Canis lupus familiaris: one gene and its partner. The protein of the gene in region 1 interacts with the protein of each later gene in a biochemical or structural test. Links are inferred from orthologs where the notes say so. Each region holds a gene or a part of one and is shown on either strand. Other genes may lie near its edges. The genes, in order: PTPRC and CSK.

Region 1 (15,285 bases):
TGTTGCTGGGTCATTTGAAATGTATGGTCATGAATTTAAAGAGAGTCCGTTGGTTTTATTGTTTTCTACAGAAACATTGAAAATAGGGGCTGTGTATACAGATAGTTGAGTTAAACTCATCTAGAATTTCTTAAAGTGACTGAAAGTTGGAGACAGACAAATAGAGGGTGTTTGCACATGAATGATACAGTGGTGGATGATACAGAGAAAACTGGCCAGAGAAGGGCATGGGGTCCATAAGGAAAGTAGTAAGGCCAGTATGTGGAAGGTTTTAATAGAATCCCACCTTGAGAGGCTGAAGATACTAGAATAAAGGAGTAGGGAGAAAAGAGGTAATTTTCAATAATCAGATGGTTGAAATTGTAATTTTTAAATGAATGTTTGAAATGATTCTTACAAAGCTAGATGGAGAAACATGAATGGCAGAAGAGTGGAGGGAAAGGTGATGATAAGAGGTAAAGAAGCTAAGAATGGACCAGAAAGTTGCATAGATCATCCTTGTCAATGTTGAAGTAACCAAGAATGATGACAGACAGATCTGGGGAGACAAATTAGGCAAATCTAAAACTAAGTGAAGTGGAGTGATCCAGTAATCCGTACCCGAAGCCTCTAAGAAAAGCCAAAGGAATGTGGCATGATGTTGGGAAAAATCAAAGCAGTTGGGCTTTTTGAAGGAGAAATGAATAGAAACGGTTTACATGTAGAAACAGCACATTGGATGTGATATATATGGGATATAAGTGGGGAATTCAGTGTTTTTTAAAAAGAGCTACTGTTGCATTTTTGGTGGTGCTCCCAAGGGACACTCAGGTTTTACCTGGTGTGCAGGCCCCCATTCCCACCCTTCCTCTTCCTCTTCCTCCTCCCCCTCCCCCAAGAAATAATAGGTGAAGGGACCTGTTGGGAGATAAGCATTAAGATGGATAGCAGTTTGCTGCTGACAGACCCTGAGTACCAGAGACTGGTGAGATGTAAGAGACTGAGTTGCATTTGAGGAGGACCATCTAGGTAATTATTCAGTAATAGAGCTCTAGCAAATACAATGCATTGGGGCTGAGACTTGTTGCAGGGACTGAGGTGTGAAAAACCATTTGTGTCTTAAATGAAGGTAAGCCTTTGGCTTTATCTATAATACTGGGTATTGGTGGGAGGACAGGGGCCACTGGGTGACCATTTTGACAAGCAAAAAGTGTGATGCCTTCCAAGGCAGTCAGCCTTCATGCAGTTCATTGGGGTGAGTTCAAGTGGCCTGGTATTCCATGATGAGGTCTTCATTCACTCGGTGACACAGCAATGCATGGGGTTTGAAACAGGATGCCATGATTAGTTTGAAAGAGCGCACCATGTTAAAAGATACATATATAGACCACACATACATCCATATGCACGTATGTTTGTGCGTGTATAAAATCCTACTAAACTATATATGATGCAGTCTTTTGGTTTAGATTATTCATCCGCATGACAAATATTTATTTAAGGACTAATGGGAAGACAGGGCTGTAGGCAGAGAGATCGTCCAGAGGAAATGACATTCACGCTGATAGCTCAAAGGCAAGTAGATGTTAGCAGAGCGACAATAAGGGAAAAGGGTGGGCACAGGACACACGGAGTGAACGGACAACTCAGCCTCTTCCCAGAGTTGAGGAGGTCGTGTGGCTGAGGTGGAAGGGGACCATCAAAGGGTGAGGCTGGCCTGACCATCAAGAATGCACCCGTAAAGACTGCTGAGGAGCCTCTGTGGGACTCTGTTTGTTTTTTGTTTTTGTTTTTTTTTTTTATTTTTAGAAATTTATTTTTTATTGTGTTCAATTTGCCAACATATAGAATAACACCCAAGGCTCATCCCGTCAAGTGTCCACCTCAGTGCCTGTACAGTCACCCCGACCCCCCGCCCACCTCCCCTTCCACCACCCTTAGTTTGTTTCCCAGAGTTAGGATTAGAGCAGGTGAGATTGAAGATCAAGAGGCCAGTTAAGAAACTGTTGATGTTGTCAAGTGAGAAATGAACGTGGGACGTACCAAGTAGAGGGAAAAGCCAGAGGATCTGAGAACCTCACCAGCAGAAATGAGAAGTCTTGCTGACTGATTAGCTACTGTAAATGGGAGGGAAAGCAGTAGGGAAGGCATAAACCAATGAAGTATCAATTATTGGAAGCATGAGACAAGCCTTCTGTATCTGGAGAGTTTATTACTCATCATTTACAATGATGTACCGCTGCAATATGGATAATCATCACCATCTGTACAGTGCTTCAACTTGTACAAGAACAAACCATACTGTTTTGTTCTCCAGCAGCTCTTAAGTAGGAAACCTATTTTGTTATAAAATTGGATGCATTGAGTCCAAACTTGCCAATTCAAAAATATTAAATGCCTGAAAAAAAATAAAAGGAAAAATTCAGAGGCAAACTTAAAAATTATGAACTATAAGGAATGCATACAAATTTCACAAACCTTAATGACATACTTTTCTTTAGGGAACATCTTTGGCCATAGTAATAAACAAAACCACTACTCACATCTTAACAATGGTGTTCCATTCTATTTTCTCACTCTCAGAGACTTCCTTCATATAGGAGCTGGAGGACACAGCATGTTGGAAATCAAGAACAAAATAAAAGCAAAAACAGGAATTCTTACATCATTCCATGTATGTAGAGTATTTTATGTTATTTTTTTTGGTATCAGATAAAATTAAACTCTTTTTCAGGTTTGTTTAATGTAAGATGTGCACACACAAATGATTTTGAAGCAAGTTTTCAACATTGGGTTGACAGTAAAAAATAACTGTCTATTTAAATTTAATTATAGCAAACACTTTGCACCCCAAACCTTTACAATAGACTTTGGAGGATAAACTGAATCCAGTATTTTCCTTCTACCAGTTATTTTAGAAATGGGCTGTCAGAAAGACATAACCTCTGAAGCTGAGAGGGAAAAGGCCAAGTCTTCTTTACTAGTTCTCTCTCATCTTTAGCTAATTTCAGGTATTTGCTTCAGGGGAATTGCCAATAGCAAACATTACTTCCTTTTTTTCCTTTCTGTTTTCTTTTTATCCCTTCCTCCTATCTGGGAGATTAACCGTAGATAAAAAGTACCCTGCAAACTGTTAATCATCAAGTTTAGTAGATCAACAAAAGTACAATTTCAATACTTGAATTCTGTTACCTAAGAATATTACAGGACTATATCTGGTACAACTTTAATTTTATTCATTTGCATAAACTAAAATTAGCATGGAGAAAATATAACCCAAGCTAATCAACTAGACAACCAAATACATCATATTAAAGATTGGTTGACCTAGTTAATTTCTGAAGTCCTTATAAATATGCGTTCAAAATCTGGAATTGATGGTGATGTAGCTAATCAGATCACTTGATCAGGATATTATAGACTAAAGAAATAGAAAAACAGTGAGAAATTATGGACTAAATAATTTTTTTGATCAAATAATAAATCAACTGAGATACCGTTTTAACTAAGGTTGTTAATTTGCTGTTAGTGGGATATAATAGAGAAATTAGATTTTTTACCTAAGCTATGTATTTTTAAAATTTTATATATGTATTTTTAAACATATCTAGCAGAATGATGATATTTCATGGAAAATGAAAGTAGGTATGTCAAAGATTGAGTGATCATATGGAATATTATGATATCTATTTGTTGTTTAACATGGTGTTTTATCCCATTTTTTTTCTAGGAACTTTTTTGAAAGCTTCTTTTTCTTAGATTTCTTTTTTATAATTTGTTTATCAATATGAACTGAATTTTATGTAGGGTCTCATTTCATGTACATCAGTACATTTGCATAATGCAATCTGTCACTTCTTTAATTTCACATGACAATCAAGCAGAGATTTGAATTTTTTTAAAGAAAGACTTACTACTAATTTATCTTACATAGATGACTTTAACAGAGTGCCACTAAAACATGAACTGGAGATGAGCAAAGAGAGTGAGCATGATTCAGATGAATCTTCTGATGATGACAGTGACTCAGAGGAAACAAGTAGATACATCAATGCGTCTTTTGTTATGGTAGGTACTTAAATTTCCAAAGCCCAAGATCTAACCCTTTAAAAAATGTATTTTGAAATACATTGTAAAAAAAATCTATATTTTTATGGCCATTCATTAAGTGATTTTCTAAAAGAATGATGAGCTTGGCCATAACTATATATTGATTGATACAAAAGTTTCAATTTTATTTTAATTTATTTATTCATGAGAGACACAGAAAGAGAGAGAGGCAGAGACAGAGGCAGAGGGAGAGGCAGGCTCCTCACAGGGAGCCCGATGTGGGACTCAATCCCAGGACCTGGGATCATGACCTGAGCTGAAGGTAGATACTCAACCACTGAGCCACTCAGGTGTCCCTCAATTTTTAATACTATATTTTAACTTACTGAAAGACTTAAAGATATTAAAACTTAATGTGTTGATATGAAATAAGACAATGCTTATTAGTTACAATTGATGGACCAATAGGACTCTTCATACGAATTTGAAAAATAATACAATTTGAGAAAATACAAGTATTTGAAAATGTTTATACTTACTCAGATACACAAATTGTAGGCAAGTAAGAATTTGCATATTTGCATAGCTAAAAAATTTCATTCAGATTATCTAAATTATTAGATGAGTCTGTGTCACATAACCTTTTTTCTTTTTTTAGTAAATAGAATTCTAACAAGGAAAAATACTTTTTGCATATATACCAAGTTGGATTTATTTTCCAAATTTTTCTAAAACACACTTATAGAATATTAGTTTATATCTAAGTTATCAAAACAAATAAATAAATAAATAAATAAATAAATAAATAAATAAATAAATAAAGTTATCATAAGACTGTGTAGACATCAACTAGATACATGATGAGGATCAAATAATTATGTATTTTTTTTACAACCACATTTACTTTTTTTAGTTCTTTTTGGAAAAAAAAACTTGTTTTGTTAAGATGTTCTAAACTTGACTTCATATTATTAGCTAAGTATTATCATTAATGAAATAAGATATTAATTAAATAAATATAGACATCATACTGTTTCTTGGGCCTAAGGATCTTAGGGTTTTTATGTAACAACATTGATATCAAATTAAGTGACGATATTTTCAAATGGTTATTTTAAGAATCCATTGCTCTCTCATCAGTGAGCGAGAGTAAAAGAATCTTTTTCTCCCTCTCTTTTTAAAGAGTTACTGGAAACCTGAAGTGATGATTGCTGCTCAGGGACCCCTAAAAGAGACCATTGGTGACTTTTGGCAGATGATATTCCAAAGAAAAGTCAAAGTCATTGTTATGCTGACACAGCTGAAGGATGGAGACCAGGTTTGTGTCTTTAAGAATATTTTTTTTTTTGTCTTTCTGTCATAAAATATCATTCTCTATTCTCGGATGACTTGCTTGATTGCTCTACCCTAGGATTTTTGACCCTTCTGTCACAAAGTTGCCTTTGTTCATTCTTCCCATCTTCCATCCAAGTGTTGGCAGTTGGCATCTCATGTCTGGGTTCTCCTGCCCTCCTTTCTCTGGTCCTACACTCCGTCTGTGGATCGTCTAGTGCACAGCAAGCCCAGCATCACTGCTTGCTACAAACAAGCAACAGACACATTTTCCTTCTATTTTCTTCAAATGAAAACCAAACTCCTCAGTGTGATATTTAAGATCTTCAATAACCAGACCCTCATATATCATTCCATTTTCTTCATTTTTTTAATGTTTTCCATAATTTCTATTCTGGAGAAGCAGATTTCCTGACTGAATCTTGACACCATTTCATTTTCATCACTGAGACTTAATTTAGTGGCATTCCATATGTCTAAATGTGTCCTCTATTCCCATTTTGATCCTTTTCTTCTAGCTAAATAGAACTCCTGAAAAATTTATCTACAAAATGCCTTCTTTATGTTCATATAATATTTATAATTATGAAGTTGGAGGTGAACCTAAGATCTCATTTGATCTGCTTAATGTCTGAGCTGTGTATTTGATCTTTTCCTTAATACCTTGAGTTATCAAAATCTCATTGGTAGTAGACGCTCCATAGTTGTGGCACATTATGTGGCATATGTTAAATCCTATTTAATGAATACTCTCATAAACATGCCTTCACCTTCTTTCTTTTCTTTAATTCCCTACCCCTGAACATAGGACCTGTTTTATTTTAGGTTTTCTTTCTCTTTTCTTTTCTTTTTTTTTTCTTTTTCCTTTTTATTTAAATTTTATTTTATTTTTTTATTTATGATAGTCACAGAGAGAGAGAGAGAGAGAGGCAGAGACATAGGCAGAGGGAGAAGCAGGCTCCATGCACCGGGAGCCCGACGTGTGACTCGATCCCGGGTCTCCAGGATCACGCCCTGGGCCAAAGGCAGGCGCTAAACCGCTGCGCCACCCAGGGATCCCTCTTTTTCCTTTTTAAAAAAGAAATAACATGTTCAGATTTCCGGCATGGAATCCTAGTGATCTTTTCTTTCATCTAAATTGTGAAAGCCAGGTACCAAATGCTGGTTTAGGCAGGAACACTTGTTGCTGTCAGCGGTTGTGAGACTGTAGTTGGTGTAGGACCATTTGCAGAGAGAGAACACATTTTTGTAATTCACTTGCTCTTCAGTCTGACCCTTTACTTAGGTACACAGTCAACTCATATAAAGCTGCTCAGGGTGATGGTCCTCAAGGTACAGAGACAAAACTCCCAAAGATGCTTTCTCAAGGACCACTGGAGGGGCAGTGACACTTGTGATTGCAGTGGTCACGATCAACACCAGCTCAATCTATAAATCTCAAAGAGGTGAAAATAAGGGTATGGAAGGAAGAATCAAATCTCAAAGACCTACACCAGTGGTGACAGAGCCATCTCTGTGGTGTCCTGGCCACTTTGGTTATTCCTCAGTTCCCTTGATTTGCACAAGGAAACACCAGGTACTGTGGAGTGGACGCCCCACATACGTAAGGTAGATTTAGAGTTTTATGGCCAGCTTTCCATTTTAGAAGACAGTTAGTCATTTCCACTTAATAAAATAGAGGGAAAGAGAGAGGGGAGAGAGACAGAGACAGTAAGAGGTGCACTGTATACCTTAAAAGCAAACAGAACACTTGTGTGGAAGTTGTTGAATCTTGAATCTTATTCTTTCTTAGGAAGCCTGTGCTCAGTACTGGGGAGAAGGAAAGCAAACATATGGAGATGTACAAGTTGATATGAAAGAGACCAACAAATCTTCAGCTTATACCCTCCGTGTATTTGAACTGAGACATTCCAAGGTATGTAAATCATTTCAGGAATACCTATTTTTGATCTGGGAATTGATCTTCTAGAGAAACAAATGTAAATTACTCTCTAAAAGCAAAGGAAAATCCACCTGTTTTCAGAATCAAACTTTAAGAGGAGTTAAAAGAAAGTAATTGTGGCCAAAGTGTGACTATCAAATTATTAAATGGACTGAACCTGACTTGAATTCACATTCCCTTCTTTTCTGGTTTTAGAGGAAAGATTCTCGGACTGTGTACCAGTACCAATATAATAACTGGAATGTGGATGAGCTTCCTGCAGAACCCAAAGAACTAATCTCTATGATTCAGGCTCTCAAAGAAAAATCTCCCAAGAATTCCACTGAAGGGAATAAGCATCACAAGAATGTGCCTCTCCTCATTCACTGCAGGTGGGTGGGATTTGATAAGATATTCTCTAAAAATCATCACAATGCTTGACTTCATGGTTTACACTTCCTGTTAAATTCTCTTTATCCTGACCTATAAAATGCATGACCACAGTGAAAGCCTCCTGTGGCGTCACTCTCTCTGTTTCACTCCCACAGCTTAACTATATAGAAATATGAGAGCGGTGATTATGCTACAGTTTTAGTGTTAGTTTATAAGTTTCTTAATGCCAGCGTCACCTCATGTTTGACTCCCAGTGCCTAACATTGAATCTGGAATGTCATGTGTCCTGGGTGAATTAATGAATGAATGGTAGGATGCGTGAACAGATGGATGGATCCCACATTTTATTTATGCTTATGTGCATTGATCCACTCTGTTAGGTACTAACAGAATCCAGAGGAATGAATGCTTTCCTTCGGTAAACATTTCTTAAGTTATGTATTCACCCAAAAGACTTTAATAATACGTATAATTTTTGACCTTATTAGTTTCTGCTCTGTAGGCTCTTAACTTTCCTCTGTGAGAGATGCCTACATATCTACCTTAAATAAGAGATATTGAAAGACGGATGCATAATATAAAATGTTTACATAAAACATATTAAAGTAAGTGCAAAATGAAAAATATAAAGTAAAATGAGAAATGTAAATTTAGCAAGATGCTTTTAGAATTTTTGAGAAAGCTTTGTTATTATTATTACTATTATTAGAATTGCATACACTATTATCAAGTCCTTAGAGATACACTATTTTTCAGCCTTTATCAGCATTTTCAAAGGTGAAAATTTATGCAGAAAGAAAGCTAAAGAAGGCAAGGTTAAGCTTTAAAACTATATGTGTTTCCTAGGATATGGCTGAAAGCCTATTTTATGTCCTTTAACTAAATTTACGTGCCATAAATAAAATCCTGCTAATAACATATTCTCTACATTGAATCTTTATTATAACGTACTTACCTACAGTTAAGTAAATCATTGAATTGTCCTCTTTTTAATGAATAATTCTACTACGTATCATTTTTCTATTGACGCAGAAATCTGGACATTTGTGAAAACACATGAGAGAGGCAGAAGAAAGGAGAAAAAGCAGGCGATCTAGCAATATACAAAATATTGGGTCTAGTATTTCTGGTTTTATTGATTTCTAGGCATGTCTTTATCTTCCCTAAATCTTGACGTCCTCATCTGTCAAATTGGCATTCTGGCACTTGTCCTAGCAACTTCCTTACAACTCCAGATGTAAATTAAAATGCATTATAACCCATAAGGTACTAAACAGAAGAAAACAAAATATTTTTAAAGCCTGAGACAAGTATTTTTTTAAAAACTATAGGATTATTATAGTCTCAAACTGAAAAGGTTTGTCCAAATAATGCTTTTAGCAGAAATGTGTTGCTCTTAAGAGAACACGAAGTGAAGAATGCATTCCATCTCTTTCAGTTTTTATTCTCATATGACTTTCTCCATAAAATGTAGGATTTTTTTCCTTTTAAAACTTTTCTTCCTTTTATAGAGATGGATCTCAGCAAACAGGACTATTTTGTGCTTTGTTAAATCTCTTGGAAAGCGCAGAAACAGAAGAAGTAATAGATGTTTTTCAAGTAGTAAAATCTCTCCGCAGAGCTAGACCAGGAATGGTTCCCACGTTTGTAAGTAGACCTCACAGTTGCTTTTGAAGTGTTTTGCATTCTTATTTTGATGGCTTCTTCTCTCTTTCCTTCCTCTTCCTCTTCTCCAGTCCTCTACTTCTTTTTCTTCCCTTCCATCCACCTTTCTAGTCTTCTTTTCTATCTTCCTTTTCTACATAAGTCACATGAAGTCATTATTAATATAAATAAAAGAACTAATTAGAGCCTGCCAGCAACTTGTTGTGGCAATCCACGGAGAACGTTTCTTCAAACGTCCATGAATTCCCTAATTTCCTCCATCTTCACTCCTGTATTAATGTGTATTGCTATGTAACAAACCACCCCAGAATTAGGGACAGAAAATAAATTATTATAGTTCAATAGTCTATTGGAGCAACTGAATAATTCTGCCAATATCAACTTCAGCCAGTTTGGACCAGGCTTGCTCATAGTTTTGCGGCGGCTGATGTGTCTGCTAGGGTTTGGCTTGTCCAAAATGATCCCTACTACCAACAGATGGTGGCTGCTAGCTTTTAGCTCCGGCAACGGAGGTGGGTAGACACCAGGTCTTTCCTTCTCCAGAAGACTGGCCTAGGTATATTCATATAAAGGCAACCGAGTTCCAAGAAGTAGGCAGCGGTGTGTGAGAATTCTTGAGGTACAGGCTTGGAACTGGCCCAACCTGCCTTCCTCTGCATTTTCCTTATCTAAACAAGTCACAAGGCCAGCTCAGATTCAAGGAATGGGAAAGTTGGCTCCACCTCTCCTTGAAAGGGTCTGCAAAGCCACACTGCAAACAGGTGTGGATACAGAGGATAATGAGCGTGGCATTTTTGTAGTCAAGCTAACATGGATCATCTGTAGAGGGTAGTCTGGAAAGGCATAACTAGTCACCATATCAACCTAACCAGTCACTCAGATCTCTGCAGCATGTAATCGGGCAGGACCTTGAGCTGGCATATAATTGATTTTAAAAGTGCACTGAGTGCCTGTTATGTGCATTTGCCATTAAGAGACTCACTGTTTAGTGTGAGGAAAAGGCAAAGATTTACTAAACAATGTAGTAATCGAAATGACAGAGAGATTATGCGAGGAGCCTGAATGACAGCACCAAATTTAATCTGTGGCTACCCAGATTGGCTTCCAGAAGCAAGTGACTTCTGCTACGATACTTAGATGAAGGATGCATTGGCCTTAACCAAGAAGATAAGCACAAAAAGTGGCCTCGTGGGCCATGGAAAGGAGACACCACGTGGTGGTGCGTGAGGGGTATGAACATGCTTGATGTTGCTCCACAGCAAACTTTGAGGACTACCCCGCAGTAGGACCTTTAGAACTGTAAGGGGACTAAGCCATTTAAAATGCTCTTTTGATAACAACATAGAGTAGTTCCTGTTATCCAAGACTTTCAAGTCAACGACTAGTTCTTGCTGCTTTTCACTTGACATAAAAAATCATCACATACACTTTCTTTATCATAATTACATACGCTTTCTTGCTTCTTTCTTTTTACCAGGAGCAATACCAATTCCTCTATGATGTCATTGCTAACACCTATCCTGCCCAGAATGGACAAATAAAGAAAAGCAACAATCAAGATGATAAAGTTGAATTTGCTAACGAATTGGTGGACAAAGCAAAGCAGGATGCTAATTGTGTTAGTTCTCCTGGTGCTCCTGATAAGACCAATGAAGGAAACAAAGAAGATGAAGGTACTAAAGTCACAAGTAGCCCTGAGGAGCCAGAACATTCTGCCAATGGTCCTGCGAGTCCAGGTTTAACTCAAAATGCATAGGAAAAGACATATACAGGACTCAAGCATTGTATTAGGTGTTATTTCTGTTTTTTTAGGAGTAGGAGGACAAAATAGATATACAGTGGATTAATGCAGTACATTGGACCAATATGTGAGAAGCTTCTATTTTACTACTGTAGAAACATATTTAAGACAATTTTGCTAAAAACTTTGTACAGTTTTATGCATATTTTAAAATTTTACCTATCACTTAGCAAAAAAATAACTTCTTTGTAGTCTTTGGGTGTGTGTGTCTGTGTGTGTGTGAGAGACAGAGACAGCAACAGAAAGAGAGAAAGGGGTTGCTTTTAAGTGAATTTAAATGCTTTTGAGAAACCTTGCCCTTTTTTTTGAAGAAAAAATACATTTTATACAGAACATATTAAGTTAGTTTACAGGACCTACTTTTTAAATCATAAATTGTGTGTGGCCTCTAAGGATAAAATGTACATTTCTAGAATGACCTCAAGATGTCCTCCTTGTTCTACTCATATATATCTTATAGTTTACTAGTTTACTTCTAGAAATAGACATAAATGTAGTATGTGTGTGTGTGGTTACTACAAGAAAGTTAACAAAATTAACATTTGGAAATCTTATATTCCATATGTTAACGTTTAGTCCGTATCTTTCAAGCTCATTTAATCTAATTTAAAATTTTCAAGCAAGCTTATCTTGTTAGATTCACACGGTGTTTATAATTTTGCAGCCTGGGTTATCTTCTGTATAATATGTGAAATTCATTGCTTGATACTTTTGACCAAGAATTATGTTTGTTGCAGCTGAATTTAAATAAACATCTTTAAACAAATACCATATATATTAATATTCATAGGCGAAAATAGAATTATGTCAACATACTTGTGTGAAATATTTACATTTGAAACATGATCTAGCTATTTTTATGGAATACAACACTGATATGAGAAATGCAATATTGCACATGCATACTTTTCATGTTAAAATCCATCCTTAACTTTCACTCAAGTGCCTTTACTTTGTTTTTTATCCATTTGATTTTAATTCCAGGATAGTTGATATACAGTGTTATATCAGTTTCAGGTGTACAATGTAGTGATTCAACAATTCCATACATCATCCAGTGCTCATCACAACAGAAATGCATTGGCATTGAATTTCTCAAATGTTTAAACTGCAATAGCTGAATTCTGGAAAAAGCCCAAGGGCCGTAGCTTGGTGAACGGATAAAGAAGATGTGGTATATATACACAATGGAATACTACTCAGCCAAAAAAAAAAAAAAAAAAAAGACTGAAATCTTGCTATTTGCAACAACATGCATAGAGCTAGAGAATATTATGCTAAGGGAAATCAGTCAGAGAAAGACAGATACCACATGTGGAATTTTAGAAATAAAACAAACAAGCAAAGGGAAAAAAAAGAGAGTGAAAGACAGGCCAACCAAGAAACAGACTCAACTATAGAGAACACACTGCTGGTTACCAGTAGGGAGGTGGGTGGGGGATGGGTGAAATAAGGGATGGGGGTTAAGGAGGGCACTTGTTGCGATGAGCACTAGGTGACGTATGGAAGTGAATCACTGTATTGTTACACCTGAAACAAATAAATACTGTATGTTAATTAACTAGAATTTAAATTAAATCTTAAAAAATATTCTTAGACTGCTTTTACCAGAAATTGACACCAATAATCATAATGAAATTGAATCATTATCTTTTCTTATACATCATGTATTGTGTTACATGTTCCTATATGAATTATATAAGTGCATATTAAGTTGTAGGCATAATGCAATGAACATTTGTGGGACATTTCACAGATCTCCATTTAAAAAAAATTTTTGAGAGAGAGTGCACCCCATGCATGGGGGACGGGTGGGGCAGAGGCAGGGAGAGAGAGAATCTCAAGCAGACCCCCCACTGAGTGTCAAGGCTGACAGGCGGCTGGATCCCCACGATTGAGATCATGACCATGAGCCGAAATCAAGAGGACCGAGCCACCCAGGTGCCCCTGTCACAAGTCTCAATTTTCATTTTAAAAGATCCATAATCTAATTAATTGTTTAGGATCATACAAAATTTAAGAAAAATGTCATTTTTTTTTTCAAAAAAGTAATGAACAACGCTGTTTCTGGTGAATTCTGCATCAGCTTATGACATTAGTCACACGCTACATTTAGGTTAGGTTGGTTTTCTATATCTTCACACTCCTGAGTGATTTTAAATGTCTTAACTATACATCATCAATTACTTTCCATTCAACTCAATTTATCTTATTCATCTTTCTAATTCTTTTATTAGACATGGGAAGTTAGCAATTAATTCTTACATTATTGGACAGTACCCTGTTCACATAAGAAAAGAAGTGAATTTTAGAACGAAAGGGTAATTTTTAATTTATATTGGGTTGACTTACTATTGCCTTACTTATTAATGTGAAAGGGGAGCCTAGAGTCACCCATTAAGGGGACCACGAAGAAATAAAGCTTGCTTTCACTTCTCTCGTTAGTCACTCAAACTTTTATGCCTTGGTTTCTCCAACTGAAACAAGATCAGTTGCCATTTACTAGATAATGTTAAAAAATACAGTTTTATATGTGGCAGACTAGTGTCTATTTTATCTGCGAGCTGCTTCAAAATACAACCAGCAAAAGTTCTGAATTTTAAATAGTGTACAAGTAAAGTTTTCCTCTGAGATCCCAGCTGCAAGTGGCATCTTCCAAATGTGGATGTTGTGTGTTTTCCATGTGTATTTTTTACTTGAGTCTATTCCTTTGAGATACAGAGTAAATACTTAGAAAAATAGAGCCCTGGTAGTTTCTGTTAGTTTAAGAAGCAAGTTGGAAACTTCATTTTTTTTCTTTTTTCAATGAGAAGTTGTGGTAAAGGAAGAGCTAGAGGAAGGGGTCAGAAGGCCTATTACTCTGTGAGACTATCAGAAGACGGGGCCCTTTGTGTTAGAACATGGAATTATATGTCTATGATTTTTATTTTTAAAAAGAAGATAACACCTGAGTTATAGACTTATGTCTAGGACTATCAGTTGCATTCCTAGAGAACCTATCATGAGATGTAGAAGATTCTTTTTCTGAAGTTTGGCACTGCCATTAGGAATTCCAAGACCTCGTTAGAAAAATTAAGCAAAAAGCTCCAGTTTAATAAAGCTTGGTCCATTTTAGGGTTAAAGCTGCGGGTCCCCTTGTGTACTTATTGGGCAAAAAGAGACTATGCTATGTTTCTTTCGGAGTTTACTTTATTTCTGGTACCAAGATTAATTGGAGATACATTTACTATTCTTCAAATTCAGCTCCCAAGCCATTAATTTTTTACAGTTACAAGTAAATATTTGCAGAAAAGATTTATACATTTTAATAGTCCCTTGCAATTATAAAACTTTGTGTAGCGATTACCTGAATGTCTTTGCAATGATTTAGAAGTATAAGCTTCTAGTCAAAACTCTAATACATGTGCAGTGAAATTTTCACATCTATTTTTTTCTCTTTTCCCCCTAAAAACACTGGATACAAAGTTTATTATTTCTTTTAACTAACTAAGATTGATCTTAATTTTTAATTGACACCAGAGATTTGTTATAAAATGTTCTCATTGCACTATAATAGGTCAAATTAAATAGGTGGTAATTGCTCCTGCTTAATCATAACATGTTTCTTGGTATGAAGACTTTCAAATGTACAACTTCAAAGGAAAAGAGCATTTGTTAAAATGAGTAGAATAGGCTATGCTTTCATTCTCTTATACAAATTTTACAACTGGAACTATCTGAAGGGTCTTCAAAGAGACACATTTCAGAATTGAGCTTTTTCATTTCCTATTACAGGTGAAAAGATTTACATTGCTAAAGGGTCTATTTTCTGTAACCATTCCTTTGTGAACTGCTTTACATTTCTCTTTACATTTTCTCAGCAAACACTTTTTTTTTTTTGTTCACTACTAACCCAAATGAAAGGGTGTGCATGCTGTGTCATTATTTTTAAATAAAAAAGTAATAATCATCGTTATAACTAATGTTTATCCAGGCATTATGCACGCCTGGTATTTTGTTAATTGTTTTGCCTGCATTTGTTTATCAGGACAAATTCTGTGCAGCACCGACTCTTAGTATCTCCATTTTATAGACAAGGAACTGAGGCTTAGAAGAGCTTGGTAGCCAGCGTGTGTTGACACATGTAGCAGGTGACAGAGCCAAG
Region 2 (16,387 bases), on another chromosome or scaffold:
CAGGGATGATCTGCGTGGATTGGAGTTAGGGATGCCTTGTGTGTCACGTACCATGGATCAGGTCCCTCACCTTGTCTTTTCTCACGGCCTTTCACTTGGAGTATTTCAAACCTACTAAAAAGCTGAAATAGGGCACCTGGCCCACTCAGTGCATGGAATATGTGACTTTTTTTTTTTTTTTTAAAGATGTTATTTATTTATTCATGAGAGACACAGAGAGAGAGAGGCAGAGACACAGGCTCTAGAGAAGCAGGCTCCATGCAGGGAGCCCGACATGGGACTCGATCCCGGGACTCCAGGATCACGCCCTGGGCTGAAGGTAGGCGCTCAACTGCTGAGCCACCCAGGCGTCCCGCGTATGTGACTCTTGATCTCAGGATCATGAGTTTGAGCTCCACGCTTGATGTAGAGATTACTTTTAAAAAATAATAATAATGGGGTGCCTGAGTGACGCAGTTGGTCGAGCGTCTGACTCCTGATTTCCACTTAGGTTGTGGTCTTGGGGTTGTGAGATCAAGCCCGGCTTCTGGCCCTGCACTCTGTCCCTCCCCGTACCCCCACTGTACTCATGTGCATGCACGCTCTCTCTCTCTCTGAAATAAATAAAATCTTTAAAGGTAATAAAAATAATAAGAAACTGAAATAATAATGTAACAAATACCCAACCATCCCTTACCCAGATTCACCAGGTCTTAACATTTTGCCATATTTGGTTTCCCTCTTTCATATACCGAGATGCGTATTTGTGGAGTTTTTTGCTGGTGTGTTTGTTAGTTGCAGGCATCCTACATCTTCATTTCTAAGTACTTGAGCGTGCACCTCTTACGTAATCACAGCACCAGGATCGTCCTTAGGAAAATTGACATTAAAATTCCATAATATTACCTTACATTTCCATTTTTCCAACTGTCATCCAATGATTTTTATAGCTACTGTCTTTTTCCCTCTGAGCCAGAATCCAGTTCAGGATCTCTCACTGAATCTTGTTGTCCTGTTCCTTTCACCTTTTTTCCCCCAGCTTTATGGAGATGTAATTGCCATATAAGGTTGTGTAAGTTTAAGGTGTACAGCGTGGTGATTTGATGTACGTGTGTTGCTAAATAGTTACCACGGTAAGGTTAGTTGACACCTCCTTCACCTCACAGAAATACCATTTTGTTGTTGTGTCACATGCCTCTAGCGTCCTGTTTATTCGAGAACATTCCCCAGCCTCTGCATGTTCCTTGGTTTTGTCTCTTACGACATTAACTTCGAGAGTCCGGGCCAGTTGTCGAGGCTGTGCCTGATTGCATCTTCCTGATTTGAGTCAGGTTAACGGGCTCCGTGGGAATCCTACCCCCGGGATGCTGTGCCCTCCTCCGGGCGTCCCGGTGGGAGACGCTCTGTCGTTGCTCTCATCGTGGGTGATGCTTGATTCGGTCGCGTGGTTAACGAGATAGATCGATAGGTCTATCTGCCAGGTCCACCTGTTGTGTAGATGCTTTTCTGCTTTCTGATTCACCTGTGGGGTAGTCTTTGGAAGCCATGTCACTGTCTCGTTCCCCCCAGCAGCTTTTCCTTGAGCGACTTGAGCTGGCTTTTTGCCCTTCCGGCTTGCTGCATCATACGGGTGCTGTGTGTCAGCACCTGAAGGTCGGGGCCCCGTCACCGCAGGGACTGTTGTTCCCTCTTAGGGATACCCGGCTGTTTATTTGCCTGGTCCCTCACTGATGGACATAAAGATCGCTTCCCAGTCGCTTGCCACCATAGACAATACCACAGGGACTTTGTAGGCACACGTGAAACAGAAGCAATGCCTCAGTTGTGACCCGGAGGTTGAGAGGAAGTTCCTTGGGTAGAGAAGAGGGAGGGAGTGGAGAGGGAATGCCAGGCGAGGTGGGAACAGCAGGTGGGACACAGGTCCGTCTGAGGTGCCAGAGAGCCAGCAGGTCCCAGAAAAGTCAAATGACTTTCCCAAGGTCACACGCAGCAAGTTGGTGGCAGAGCCAGGAATAGGACTCAGAGCCCCTGACTCCCAGGACAGCGTCCCAGCAGCCTCCACAGAGTGGCCTAAAAGTAGGTTCATGTGACTCCAAAGGGACCCCTGTGTGCCAGGGGTCCAGACCAGAGCCCTAGGTTCACAGGGGCCCCTCCCAGCCATCCTGGCTCTTTGTGTCCAACCTGGAGGGAGCTGGCCCCTGGCCCCTCAGGACCCTCGGGAGGGAGACCTCTGAGCCCGCCTGGGCTTGACGCCAGCAGGGAGGAGCTGTGCAAGAGCCCACGGCCTGCCCTGCAGCATTCCTGGGCAGGGGCGGGTCGAGGCGCCTGGCAGCTGCGTGCAGAGCAGCCCTGGCTGCTGTGGAGGTACCGCCAACCCATTGTACAGGTGGAGAAACCAGGTCCTGAAGTTTTAGGCAATAGACCAAGGGAGGGCTCAGCTCCTTCCCCTGCCTTCCAGATGTCTGGTTGTCGGAGCCTGGCCCCTTGAGCTAGCCCACCCTGGCCTCTCCAGTGGCGCTTGCCCGTCCTCTGGGCGCCCCATGGTGCCGGGGCTGGGCAGTCGAGGCCCGAGCGTGGCAGGGTGCTCCCGGGAGGTGTAAGCCCCCTTGCCTCTTGGCAAGACCACTTTGCCTCTTGACCTCGCTCAGGGTCCTCGTCTACAATATGGGGGGAGTAACAGGCTCAGTTGTTAGAGGATGAGATGAGCCATTACGTGCCAAGGACGGGGCCTGGCACAGAACAAGTGCTCAGAAAACGGCCTATTATTATTTTTATTATTATTGTCATGTCAGTGGGGAGGCGGCGGCAGCAGCTGCAGGCCAGGAAGGGAGTGTTTGGGGAGGGTGACTAACGGGGCCACAGCCACCATGCCCTCTGTGGTGGCCCAGTGGTGGCAAGCTGGGGAGGGAGGGGAGGCCGGCCGAGGGTGTGGAAAGCTGGCAGGGCCTCTGTTCAGAAGGGCCTGAGGGTCAGGGCCCCCGCCAGCCCCAGTGGAACCCTCATTTGGGTTCTGGGCCGTCACCCCTAACGAGCTGTGTGACTTCACACAAGTTGTTCGGCCTCGTGAGCCTCAGTTTCCGCTCCTGTGGAACGGGGGCAAGAGCAGCTCGCGGCTCACCACGGTTTGTGGGCCACGAGAGCCCGGCGGGCGGTTCCTGTCCCCGGCTCAGCAGCTCAGCCGTGCGACCGTGTGTTCGGTGGGGGCGATGTCTCTGCTCGGCCTCGTGGGCCCCGGGCTCCTGTGCCGACAGCAGACGGCGGCAGGTTGGCCTCGGGACGCGAAGCCCCGCGTGCCGGAGGAGGGAGGCCTTTCTGTCCGGAGGAAGGGGGCGGCTATGCCCAGCCCCGCGCCAGACCTTCTCAGGCCCGAGGTCTCCTACTCCCTCGCAGCCTGCATGCAGGGCACGCCTGTCCCCGCCTGGCAGGGTGAGGAGCCGAGGCTCAGAACGGTTGAGTCATTCTTCCGAGTTGCACACTCGACGGAGCCAGGTCCGCCTGACTGGAAGCCGGAGTGAGGCCGGGAGTGGTGGTTGTCCCGGCCGTTGCTGCCCTCAGCCGCGCACTTCACTGCTGAGGCCCCGGTTCCTTGTCTGAAGCCCCCGCTGAGCTGCAGGGTTGGTGCTGGGCGGGCACCTCCGGACTGTCCCGACAGCAGCCGGGTAGGGTGCTCAGATGGCCGGGCTGTGTCCCACCGCCCTCCCGGGGCTCGCGGCCGGGCCCCTTCCTCTCGGCTGTCCCTGTCGACCTGCCCTTCTGGCTCGGCCTGCACCCCACCCGGTGGAACCTTTTCCAGCTTGCCTTCTGTCCCCAAGCTCTCTGTTCTTCAGAGTGTGGCCCTGGGGCTCCCCGCTCCGAGAAACGGGCCTCGGCCCTGCGGTCCTTGTTCAGCTCACAGGCCAGGCACATGCACTCAAGCGTCTCCTCCCACTGCCCAGCCTGGCCCTAGACCTTGTCCTTCCTGTCAAATGCATCTGGGAACAGGACTCCTGGGGTTTCTCTCCTAACACGCAGGGACGAGTCACTGGCCTGTCTGAGCCTCTATCCCCTGGAAACAGAGAACAGTGGCTCCAGCCCCACTGCTTCCTGAGATGGGGGCTCGGGGGGCTCTGGGCTTCAGGAAGGCAGCGGCGGTCAAGGGGGTGCCAGGCTGGGGCCACAGAGTCTGTGTGGCTTGCCGCCCTTGGAGCGTGGGTCAGCTGGAGGTTTTCTGGAGGGGTCACCTGCACCGAAGGAAACCACAGAGTGCCCCAGGCGTAAGGGTACAGCTCCGTGAGGTGCGGCCAGGAGAACTCCGCTCTTCCAGTGGCTCTACCCCTCCGAGGGCAGCTGCCGTCCCGCACCGTGGGCTCAGCCAGATTTTGAATTTTATACGGTCTACGTGGGATTACCCAGCCTGTGCTCTCTGTCGGGCTTTCGGGTTGATACTGTTTCAGAAATTCATCATCGTGGTTTCATTATTCGGTCTACTCGTGTTTGCTGCTGCGCAGCATGTACCGCTCTGGAAGACACCACAGCTTAGCCATCTTACCCTTGATGGGTATCGGGGCGGCTCCCAGCGTGAGGTACAGATCCTGCCGCACCGTTGCTCTTGTGCACATCTGGGCTGACACCTGCCCTGTGTTCTCTTGGGTGTGTACCTAGAAGTGGGGCGACCGGGCCACGAGGTTGGTGTACCTTTGTCTTTAGACATGTTGCCTGGGCACCTTTTTATAGGCTGTGGGACTAGGAGGCCCACGGAGGAACAGGTGACTTTCCCAAGTTACGTTGCACCTTTCCTAGGCTCACAGAGCCGCCCTGGGCTCCCTTCCTCCACAGACCACGTGACTGACCTCTGGGCCTGGGGCTTCTCACCCCCAGAGCTTCTTTTGCCTCTGTTGGCCATTTGGTGGGGCTGTGAGGCCCCCATGGGCTTAGGATTGGTGACCCCTCCGTCCCTGGGGGCCCTCAGCCTTCATGCCCCTGCCTCCCCCTATCCGGCGCTCTCAGGCTGCCAAGAGTCCCAGCTCTAGGGGCCTTCGGTACGTGTTCACATTGCTGTGGGGAAGGAATGGGGGGCTCAGTGACTGGGAGGAGCCAGCTTCTCACACCCCTCCTCGGTCTTCCCTTTCTCCCTGCAGCTCTCATGGTACCAAGTGACGGGGTGGCCTTCCTGTGACAGGAGGACGCCAGATCTTCTGAGAAGATGTCAGCAATCCAGGTACCGTGGGGGCGGGGGTTGGGGCAGTTGAGTACTCCCCCCACCCCTGGAAGGGTGCTCAGTGGAGGAGAGAGAACGAGGCCTCACGTCAGTCTGCTCCCCTTGGCCCCACCCTGGCCTTCGACAAAGGAAAATTCTAGGGTGTTGTACTGTTGGACCCAGGGCCCTCAAGGTGGGCGTACGGACCTGGGGGCAGTGGGGGGGATCTCAGCTGGAAGGCACCCAGAGTTCTCGGGGCAGGAGGTTTACAAAGAGCAACGAGAGTCTGTGTCCTGAAGGGCGGATGGGCAGTGGGTGGAGATGGGCCCCGGGCTCCCTCCACCTGCCCACCTGTCGCCTGCCCTACAGGCCGCCTGGCCATCCGGTACAGAATGTATTGCCAAGTACAATTTCCATGGCACTGCCGAGCAGGACCTTCCCTTCTGCAAAGGAGACGTGCTCACCATTGTGGCGGTCACCAAGGTAATCGGGGACCTCACAAGGCCACACCTATGCCCTCCCGCCTCTGGGCATTCTAGCTGGGTGGGGGCTCCCCTGCAGGGGGGCCAAAGGAGGGCTGAGCGTGTGTCTGGGCTGCCCTCTCCCCAGGACCCAAACTGGTACAAAGCCAAGAACAAGGTGGGCCGTGAGGGCATCATCCCAGCCAACTACGTCCAGAAACGGGAGGGCGTGAAGGCCGGCACCAAGCTCAGCCTCATGCCGTGAGTACTGCTAAGGAGCGCTCGGGGTCTGCAGCGTGGGGAGGAGGGAGGACAAGAAGCCCTGGTTCCCTAGAGGAGTCAGGAAAGCAGCGAGCGGGCGTAGGGGTTGCAGCGCGTGAAGGCTTCTCAGGCGGAGGGCGAGGCGCGGGTGCTAGGTCCCGGGGCCTGGGAGGCCCGAAGCAGGAGGAGCGTGTGGGGGCCATGGGGAGGTGGCGCAGAGGGAGGGCCTCAGACAGCGGGCCCGGGTGGCCGGGGTCCGTGCCTGGAGCCGCCACGAGCCCTGGCCCGGCCTCCCCGCAGCTGGTTCCATGGCAAGATCACGCGGGAGCAGGCCGAGCGGCTGCTGTGCCCGCCCGAGACCGGCCTGTTCCTGGTGCGGGAGAGCACCAACTACCCGGGGGACTACACGCTGTGCGTGAGCTGTGACGGCAAGGTGGAGCACTACCGCATCATGTACCACGCCAGCAAGCTCAGCATCGACGAGGAGGTGTACTTCGAGAACCTCATGCAGCTGGTGGAGGTGAGCGGGCCCGGCTTCCGGCCCAGTGTCCCCCCACTGCTGGCTGGCCTTGGCACGTGCCGCCTCCGGAGCCTGCGTTTCCTCACGCCCCTCGCCTTGGCGAAGCACCTGCTGCGTGCCAGGGTTGACTTCTGGCCCCACGCACCCACCACAGGTGGGGGACAGAGAGGCTCAGAGCGGTTTCGGGACCTGCCTCAGGTCACACAGCTGTCAGTTAGAGACGCCAGGGCCAGAGTCGGAGTCTCGCCCCAGAACTAGGCCTCCCTCCAGGCCTCAGAGCCACATGTCAAGCCGCGCACATAAGCCTGCCCTCATGAGCTGCACCTTGGTGGTCAGGTCACAACCCTGCGTGGCTGTGGCCACATGTCCCTGCAACTCCCAAGGCCAGTTCTGCTGGTCCTGTTGAGGCCACACCTGGCTTCCCGGAGCCCCAGCGGCCTCCCAGACGCCTCCTGCGCTCGTTCTCAGCTCCTTGCCCCTGCTAGCCCCTGGCTGGGGGGAGGCCTCCTCGCGTCTGGCCAGAGGCCAGGGCTCGCCTTCCGCCTCGGGATGCTGGTGAGGCCCGTGGCCCCAGTGGAAGTGAGGGTCACAGATCTGAGTCGGGACCTCCCTAATCCTTCCCTGGGGGGACCCGGGGAGCTCCGGCCGGTGGGCTCGCCTCGGCCGCCCTCTGGTGGTTGGAGCCGGGCAGTGCGCGTAGGCGGCGGGCGCGGCGCTGGCCCTGAGCCCCCGCCCTGCCCCCGCCCTGCCCCCCGCAGCACTACACCTCGGACGCGGACGGACTCTGTACTCGCCTCATCAAGCCAAAGGTCATGGAGGGCACGGTGGCCGCCCAGGATGAGTTCTTCCGCAGTGAGTGCCATCCCCGCCCCCGTGCTCACCTGCTTCCCCGCCTCCTCCCTCGGGCTCCGGGCACCGCCCCCAGCCCTGGAGGAGCCCTCCCCGGGTCGCCACACACTGTGACGCCTGCTCTGGCTCCACCCCTCACTGACACCCCCTCCCCCGCCAGGCGGCTGGGCACTGAACATGAAGGACCTGAAGCTGCTGCAGACCATTGGGAAGGGGGAGTTTGGAGGTGAGCGGGAGCGGGTGGCGGCCGCGGGAGGGCCGGGAGGGCCGAGGGCTGGTGGAGGGTCCAGGGAACAACCTCCAGCCCTCGCCCCGCAGACGTGATGCTAGGCGATTACCGAGGGAACAAGGTTGCTGTCAAGTGCATTAAAAATGACGCCACTGCCCAGGCCTTTCTGGCTGAAGCCTCTGTGATGACGTGAGTCGGGCTGCGAGTGGGTGTGGAGGTGTCCCCGGGCGGGGAAGGATGGGGGGGCCTGGCAGCGCTGACCACCCCCATCCTGCCCCAGGCAACTTCGGCATAGCAACCTGGTACAGCTTCTGGGTGTGATCGTGGAAGAGAAGGGCGGGCTGTACATTGTCACGGAGTACATGGCCAAGGTGCGCCCCTGCCCGGAGAGCCGCCCCCGCCCTGGGCTGAACACTCCAGCCTTCCCCGCCGGGCCCCTCACCGCGCCCCTCTCCCCGCTGAGCTTTGTAGTCACCAGGCAGGGCTCAGCTTTTGTCCTGACTCCTCCTTCATTCCCTGTGACCTCACCAGGCCTCAGTTTCCTCCCCTGTGGGATGGAGGTAGTGCCAGGGTTTGCCTTAGAGATTTGTGAGCTCCGAGCTCAGGGAACTGCCGGGGCGCGGGGGCCAGCTTGCAGCACCTACTGCTCGTTCCACGGTGATGCCCCGAGCCCTCCCCTGCGGGTTCCCCTCAAGTATTTACCCAGCCCATGGTTCGAGAGGATGGGGGGGGGCAAGTCTGACCCGTGGGGCCAGTCGGTCTGTCTGTCCTGCTTTAGGGAAGCCTGGTGGACTATCTGCGGTCGAGGGGTCGATCGGTGCTGGGCGGAGACTGTCTCCTCAAGTTCTCACTGTGAGTGAAGCAGCACCCATTCGGGGGGGCCCTGCCGTGCCGTGGGTGCCCTGTCTGAGGGGCTGTGTGGCTGGCTCTCTCCCAGAGATGTCTGTGAGGCCATGGAATACCTGGAGGGCAACAACTTCGTGCACCGGGATCTGGCTGCCCGCAACGTGCTGGTGTCTGAAGACAACGTGGCCAAGGTCAGCGACTTTGGCCTCACCAAGGAGGCCTCCAGCACCCAGGACACGGGCAAGCTGCCAGTCAAGTGGACGGCCCCGGAGGCCCTGAGAGAGAAGGTGGAGGGGGCCTAACCCTGAGCCCGGGGGCTGCTGGGTGGGGGGCCTGGGCTCCCCTCCCCCGCCTCCGCCAAATCCCGAATCCCCAGGGTCTGACCCTGCTTCTCCCATCCACGTGGCAGAAATTCTCCACCAAGTCTGACGTGTGGAGTTTCGGAATCCTTCTCTGGGAAATCTACTCCTTTGGGCGAGTGCCTTACCCAAGAATTGTAAGTTGGGCGCCGGGCCTGGGCAGGGCTGGGCGGGGCGGGGAGGGGGCTAGGGAGCCTCCTGGGCCCTGCTCGGTGTTCTGAGCTGCAGGCCTGCCCTCGGGACCTTCGGGGCCTGCTGGCTCTGAGGCCCAGGTCTGAGGGGGATCCCCGGAGCTGAGTCGGGGTCCCCCGGGGGGTCGGCCCTGCACACTCACACCACCCGCCTGCCACAGCCCCTGAAGGACGTCGTCCCTCGGGTGGAGAAGGGCTACAAGATGGACGCCCCCGACGGCTGCCCACCTGCGGTCTACGAGGTCATGAAGAACTGCTGGCACCTGGATGCTGCCACAAGGCCCTCCTTCCTGCAGCTCCGGGAGCAGCTCGAGCACATCAAAACCCACGAGTTGCACCTGTGACCGCTGCCTCCTACCCCAGGTCGTGGGGCTGCGGGACTGAACCTGGAGCGATTGTGGGCCTGGTGCCCCCACTGGCTGGGCCCCAGCCTGAACTGAGCCCAGCGGGCCAGTGGGCCTCCTTCCTCTGCCCCAGCCTGCGCCCCCTCTGGCCCCGCAGAGACCCCGCCTAGGCCTGGCACCTCTTCTCATGGACCCACCCGCGGGGTGTCGGGAGCCCCACCGAAGGGCCAAGGAGGGAGGAGGCTGAGGAGCGTGAGGCAGATGCCCCCCGCCGCAGTCAGGCTTCTCCTGGCCTCCCATCTCTCGCCTTCTTAGAGTTTTATTCCTTTCCTTTTTTTGAGATTTTTTTCCCGTGTGTTTATTTTTTATTATTTTTCAAGATAAGGAGAAAGAAAGTACCCAGCAAATGGGCATTTTACAAGAAGTACGAATCTTATTTTTCCTGTCCTGCCCGTAAGGGTTGGGGAGAGCAGGCCCCTCTCTAGGGACCCGTCAGCCCAGCCTCGTTCCCCGTTCCGTGTTCCGTGTCCCGTGTCGCCTCGGTCGCCCGTGTTTGCGCTTGCCCATGTTGCACTGTTTGCATGCGCCCGAGGCAGACGTCTGTCAGGGGCTTGGAGTTCATTCATGTGCCGCTGCCGCCCACCCACCTGCCTTGTGAGATGGAACCGTAATAAACCACTCCATGAGGACACCGCTGCCGGCCTCGGCGCTTCCTCCGCCGAGCCTGCCTGGCCCCCCGGCCCCCTGTCCCTGTGCCATCTTGTCCATCCCCCTGTCTCTGTGAGTGGGGCTGTGCTTGCCCTGGGAGTGGAGTCGGGCGGGGAGCACGGCCGGGAGATGTAGCCGCGCTTTGTGTCAGCTGCACGAGCGAGTGTCCTGTGTCTGCCGTGGGGGGAGCCCTCACCCCCCGCCCTCCCCCACCATCCTGCTGTGGCGGGGGCTTGGCCCTGGGGCCGTCCCGAGCTCGGGACCCTGTGCACAGGGTAACGTCTGGGGGTCCCAGCTGCCTCCCCCGCCGTGTGGTTCAAGGCGACAGCACGAGGATGCCTGGCACCAAGGATGGGGGAGGCGCCCAGGCCTGACCAGGTGGAAGCGGGGTCCCCCTGGTTGGAGGCAAGATAAATGTCACCTGCCTCAGAGAAAGTGCTGACCCCAGAGGGTGAGGGAGGGGGAGCCTCTGAGCCACTGGTGGTTCTCACTGTTGACCCAAGATGACACGGCGCTGGCCTGTCCCACGTGTGCCCAGCCGCGTGCCTGAGGATGAAGGTGGGGGGCCTTCCCCACTCTGCCTCGGGGGCCCCAGATAGAGGATGAGGACCCACCAGGGCATGGTCCCCCCTCCCTCAGGTTGCCTGGGTGTGGTGGTCAGTGCAGAAGCTGTAAAGATTGGGGGAGGCTCCTTTCATCATTGAGATGGGCACCTCGCTGGGTGGGGGGTGGTTTCCCTTGTCCGGGGGCGACGCTGACCCCGGCCCAGCTAGCAGGACCTGAAATCCAGGGGGTTCGGACTTGGCCGTGTGTCTCGTGCCTGTGTCTCAGCCCCCGGCAGCCCGGCCGCCAGCGTCTGCCTTCCAGCCCGGAGCAGCAGCTTCCTCACCTCCCCTGCCAATGACAGGCTCATTTCTCCAAGGCCAGACCCTTGGTTCATTCAACGACAGACATGTGAAAACCTGCTTTGTGCTAGGACTGGGGCTCGGCAACGAGCAAGACAGAGCCGTGGAGTTAGGGAGGCCATCACACCGACGACTACAAGCTGCTAAGTGCTACGGCAAAAACCATGTGTAACGGGATCGGATCTTGTCTGTGGGTCAGGGAGGACTTCCCGTAAGAGGCAGCACGGCAAGCTAGATGAGGATGACCAGGAGGTGTGAGGAGTGGGCCGCAGCATTCCAGGAAGAGAAGCCTGGACTGGAGAGAGGGCAGGCGAGCCTTGAGGCAGAGGGGGGAGGCCAGAGCAAAGGTTGGCCTTTGTCACACTGAAAGCCACGGGGAGCCAGTGACAGGCTCTGAACAGGAAGGTGTTGATACAAACACTGTGGCTGCTGGTGGAGGAGTCCCCCCAGGCAGCAGAGGGGGGCTGATGAGTGTAAGAGAAGGGGCCGGGAGGGGACGACCTCCAGAGGGATGTGAGATGAAGCCCAGGGGACTTGCCAGCGGAGTCCTCCTGCAGGTGCAGGGCGGGCAGAGTGGCCGGGGTAAGGGGGCGGCCACCAGGAGGCTCCTGTCCAGGAGAAGGCACCCGGAGTTCTAGTAAGGGCATGGTGAGTTTTAGGTGTGCCTTTGACTGCCAAGAGGCCTTGAGCAAGTTGTTGGAGCCCAGAGGCTGGAGCAGGGAATCGGAGAGGTCAGAGTGCGGCTTGGATCTGAAGCCACGTCCAGGGAGGAGGTCACTTTGGGAGGACGTGCAGAAGGAGCCCGGGACCATGCCTGGGGGAGTTCTTGACATTCAAAGGTCAAGGAGAGGAGGCTGGCCAGGCAGGGTATGGAGAGGGAGGTAGCAGACCGCCCTGTGGCAGAGGCAGGGGACAAGCCGGCAGGTCCCTTCTTCCCAGAAGAGCAGAGCCTGCCACTGGCGTCAGCTAGGAGGCCGCTGGGCCTCTAGCGAAACCGGAGTTCGTGGGGGTGCAGATTCTAGGCCTGGCTGGGGGGAGGGGGGTGAGCCCTGCGGGAAGGTCCCCGGCTTGGGAGATTCAGCTGTAAGAAGAGGAGAGGGTGACGGGATTTGAAGGCAGCAGAGGGGGAGCAAATCTGATGCCAAAGGGAGGGACGTTTGCCTTCAGGCTGCATCCACGCGCTGAGGGGGCGGAAAAGGTAGAGGCGGGAATGGTAGTGACCCAAGGGGGAGGCTTCCTTAGAGCAGGAGGGGTGGCTGGACACCCGCCAAGCGCGAGGTGTGCCGCGATGGAGCCCGCACTCGGAGGGAACCGCGGGCCGCGCCGTCGCTGGGAACAGACCCCGAGGCGTGGAGGGGGCTCAGATCTGGAGCTTGTGGCGTCCACGGTGTACGCGCCATGGCCAGTGTCAAGCCACCAACCTGACTTCGCTGAAGGCACAGGTGGCCGGGGAGTTTTGAGAACTGGCTCGGGTTCAGACACCTGCACTGGTGCGTGGCCACGGGATCCGGAGAGAAGGGCTGGGGCCAGGGCATGCAGGCCCAGAGAGCTGGATGCTCCCAGTCCTTCCACCTGCTGACATGTGAGTCCGCCCTGTTCTTCCTTCCAGTCTCTCACTTGACTTATGGCTGTTTTGTTCCTGTGCTGGCCGCTGGCCTAGCGGAGACGAGCATGTCACCCTCATAGAGAGCCCACTCAATCTCAACTTGGTGCCCAGAAATCTGGTGAAGTGGAGGGGGCAGGAGACGCTAGGTGGCCTCTCAGACACCTGGAGTTCGGACAGGGACAGAGAATGAGGCGTTTCTGGCAAAGGAAGGGCACTGCCTGGGCAAAGTGCTGAGATGCCACAGCCTGATGAGGTCCTGAAGTGTGGCTGGGCCCCAGGTGCCAGTGGGGGTCTTTTGGGAGCAAGCAAGGCTGGAGAGGAAGCAGGGCCCAGACCCCACCTGGCTCTGCAGATCCCACGGGTTTAACTTGCTACAAATGACCAGGAGCAATTGAAGGGTTTAGGACCAAGGAGCCATGTGGTCAGATCTGCATTTGAGAATAATTCTGGTTACAATCTGGCCCTGGGGGTGGGAGTGTCCAGAGTGGAGACAGAGAGACAGTGGGGAGGCTGCAGGCGGCCAGCCAGGAGGTGACTGCCGGTGGCCTGGGCTGCGGAGGCCATCGGAGGTGCAGAGGAAGGTGAGCACAGCTGACACTTTACTGAGCTGAGTGCTCACTACGTGCCACGCCCTATTGTCAACACACGAGATGTGTCATCTCACGTACCCCCCAGTCAGCTCTTGAAGATACGTGCTGTGAGTACCTCATCCTACAGATAAACAGGCTTGGAGGTTAGAGGATCAGGTAAGGTGGCCTATGAGTAGCGAGAGCAAATTGAAGAGCTTGCTCCGGTTTGACAGGGCAGGGGTGGGGGTTGCCATTCACGAGCCCCTAGCCTTGACAAGGGCAGGCCAGACGTTGGACAACAGCAGTTTGAGGTGGACGTGTTCTCTGGGGACCTCCAAGTAGAGATGTCACCACAGAGTTAGACATTCAGGCCCATAGCCCATTAACAGTAGAGTTTTGGGGATCATGAGCACCGCAATGGTGCTGGAAGCCGTGGGCTTGGGTGAACTTGGCCAGGGAACTCAGGGAAAGCGAGGACAGGCCCCAGCACAAGGAACCCCAGAGGTGCCGGGAGGGAGGGCAGTGGGTGGCAAAGGCGCACAGAGGAGGCCGGCAGGGGCGGGGATGAGGGGGGCCCTGCAGGGGAGCCAGAAGGCTTCTCAGAGTGTAGGGGAGGGGGCGAGGAAGTGGATGCTCATGGCAGTCCACCCTGCAGAGACCGGTTGACAAGTGTCCCCTGGAAGCAAAGGACAGGGGTCATTGTCAGGCCCTCCCAGAGTGGTTTCCTTTCCTTTTTTTTTTTTTTTTAAGATTTTATTTATTTATTTGAGAGAGAAAGCATGAGTGGGGGGAGGGGCAGAGGGAGAGGGAGAAGCAGACTCCCCGCAGAGCAGGGAGCCCCATCTGGGGTTGGATCCCAGGATTCTGGGATCGTGACCTGAGCCGAAGGCAGACGCTTAACCAACTGAGCCACCCAGGCGCCCCTGGAGCGGTTGTGATGGGGCAGTAGGGGCAGGAGTGAGAACTGAGTGGCAGGTGAGGGAGCAGGGCCACACTGGGGCCTGCTGTTGCACAGCGTGGCCGTGGAGGTGGGGACAGCGGGGTGCAGGTGGCTGAGCACTTACTGTTGAGAAATGAAGGTTTCCTTTTAGCGTGTCCTAAGCTTTTCCATTTACAGCCTTGATTTTAATTAATTTGTAGGGTTTCGGTAACTTAATCCCATTGGGAACTTAGAAAGTACAGTAAAACTTCAGCTAGCCAGATTCTTGGCAAGTGAGCCACTCTGGAAAATGAGCATTTGAGTGAAAATATTTGAAATATAGGATTTCTTTTTTTAAAACGTTTGTAGAATGGAAATAATCCTATAACCATATGCAGGAGAGAGAAGTCACAAACACCCACATCCTCACCATCCAGCGTGAACAGCAGTTCCAGACTAATCCTGTGCCCAGCACCCCCACCTCTGAGCTCTGAGCTCCCGGACACTTGGAAGCAGATCCTAAGCATTTGATCAATTTATTGGTAGAGCTTTCCTACATTTCTCTAAAAGACAAAACACATTTTTTAAAAAGATTTTATTTATTCATTCATGAAAGACAGAGAGAGAGAGAGAGAGAGGCAGAGGCACAGGCAGAGGGAGAAGCAGGCTCCATGCACGGAGCCCGACGCGGGACTCGATCCTGGGTCTCCAGGATCAGGCCCTGAGCCCAAGGCAGATGCTCAACGGCTGAGCCCCCCAGGCACCCCAAGACAACACTTTTTAAAAAAATAATGTGACCACAGTACCATTATTACTCTTAAAATCTTTAACAGCAATTCCTTATTTAAATCAAGTATTCATTGTTCAGATTTCCCCCAATAGTCTCGTTTCCCCCCAGTCGGTTAGTTAAAACGAGGCTCCAGACAAGGCCACACGTGGCGTTCATTTGCTGTTGAGACCCCCTTTCTCTGCAGGAAACTTCTGTGTTGAGGAAACAGGCGCTCGGAGGCCTGAGTGTCCGGGGACGCGGGAGGAGCGCCTGGGACAGAGAAGGCGGGACGGGGGTGGCCCGGGACATTGATCTGCGGGCAGGAGGCGGGGCGGGGCCCATCCTGAGCCAGGGGAGAGGCCGCCCGAGGGACGGCGGGTGATGGCCCGAGGTGCGCGAGAGGTCGGGGTCAGGCTGGCGAGGAGGTCGCCCCGGGGAACCGGCCTCTGTGGGGACAGGGAGAGGACGGCGACAGCAGCTCCTCCCCGCCCGGCAGCCCTGGCGCCCGCCCTGGCCTCCCCCTGCGGCTGCAATGCTGGTGGCCAGCGGGGAGCCCCTGCTCCGCCTCGCCCTCGCCCTCCTCCTGCTCCTGGGCGCCCCCGGCCCTGAGGGGGCCAGTTCTCTTCAGAGGAGGTTTGAGTATAAGCTCAGCTTCAAAGGACCAAGGCTGGCGGCGCCCGGGGCTGCAATACCCTTCTGGAGTCATCACGGAGGTGAGCGGGCCGGAGGGGGGGACGGGCGGGTACCGGCCGAGGGGAGCAATGAGGGGGGGTGGATCAGCCGCGTGGGGGGGGGGGCTGGCCAGCTCCAGGCAGCTGTGACTCGGTGCTGGCGGGCCCAGGGCCCAGGGCCCCTGTCACCCACCTCCTCCTCCGCCCACCACGGCCCACCCCGCCCCCCGGCCTCAGTTTCTCTCCCTGCCTTCCTCTGTCTCCGCCTAGGGCTTCTCTCTCTCCCTCTGCCTCTCCTGGACCCTCTCCTTCCTCTGCTTCTCCCGCCTGTAAGTACACACGCTCGCCCGCCTGCTGAGGCCCAGACCCACCGCCCAAGGCAGCTTGGGCCGCGCCAGCCTCCCCGCTCCCTGCTCCCCGACGGGCCGGGCTGTCCGGGAGAACTGGGGGCTGCCTGGCAGCTGGAGCAGCAGCTCTGCCCTGTGTGTGCTGGGGGCGGGGGGCACGAGCACAGTAGCTTCGGGAACTGCCCAACCAGGCCTCCGGAGTCTCCTTTCTACTTGCTCTTGTTGAAGACGGAACTTTCTCCCCACTGTGGGGCTCAGTCCCACAACCCTGAGGTCATGACCCGAGCTGAAATCAGGGGTCAGATGCTCAACCCAGACAGGCACCCGAGGAAAGGCTCCCCGAGGACTGACGAAAACCCACGCAGTACAGACGAGCTTAGGTTAGAAATGAACGAGAGGATCAAGACGAGGGGGTAAGGCTGAGGCAGGAGGTGAGTCTAGGAACACGGCTTGTCACCAGCGCGTGCTGCGTGGCCTGCCCCCCTACTTGGCCATGGAGCTGGCTCAGAGCCCCCTAACAGGCAGGGCAAAGAGAGAAAGCAGATCCATCACGTATTTCTGTGTGTGTGAGGTGGAAGCTCTGAGCGGCGCGTGATTCCTGACTGAGGCCAGAACAGGTGTCCCTTTACCATGACAGGCCCCGTCAATCTTCCCTCACGGAGGCACCGGAGGTAAACA

The links.
Region 2: of the proteins of PTPRC (region 1) and CSK, one has a biochemical effect on the other in vitro, tested with the Homo sapiens proteins (2 studies listed by IntAct). The link is inferred for Canis lupus familiaris from reciprocal best matches to the Homo sapiens genes PTPRC and CSK.

The regions. Positions count from the first base shown.
Region 1 is NC_049228.1:3,917,944-3,933,228, reverse strand, and holds the end of PTPRC (receptor-type tyrosine-protein phosphatase C), read left to right. Parts: intron 1-2,562; coding exon 2,563-2,653; intron 2,654-3,913; coding exon 3,914-4,047; intron 4,048-5,212; coding exon 5,213-5,347; intron 5,348-7,153; coding exon 7,154-7,276; intron 7,277-7,498; coding exon 7,499-7,674; intron 7,675-9,186; coding exon 9,187-9,322; intron 9,323-10,817; coding exon 10,818-11,096; 3' UTR 11,097-11,907; downstream 11,908-15,285. UniProt on the Homo sapiens protein: Protein tyrosine-protein phosphatase required for T-cell activation through the antigen receptor. Acts as a positive regulator of T-cell coactivation upon binding to DPP4.
Region 2 is NC_049251.1:38,299,519-38,315,905, forward strand, and holds the end of CSK (tyrosine-protein kinase CSK), read left to right. Parts: intron 1-4,362; exon of another isoform or gene 4,363-4,997; intron 4,998-5,096; 5' UTR 5,097-5,161; coding exon 5,162-5,176; intron 5,177-5,524; coding exon 5,525-5,638; intron 5,639-5,764; coding exon 5,765-5,877; intron 5,878-6,177; coding exon 6,178-6,397; intron 6,398-7,155; coding exon 7,156-7,249; intron 7,250-7,406; coding exon 7,407-7,472; intron 7,473-7,564; coding exon 7,565-7,664; intron 7,665-7,755; coding exon 7,756-7,846; intron 7,847-8,253; coding exon 8,254-8,327; intron 8,328-8,412; coding exon 8,413-8,608; intron 8,609-8,730; coding exon 8,731-8,817; intron 8,818-9,032; coding exon 9,033-9,215; 3' UTR 9,216-9,911; downstream 9,912-16,387. Other genes in the region: LMAN1L (protein ERGIC-53-like), read left to right, coding at 15,224-15,404. UniProt on the Homo sapiens protein: Non-receptor tyrosine-protein kinase that plays an important role in the regulation of cell growth, differentiation, migration and immune response.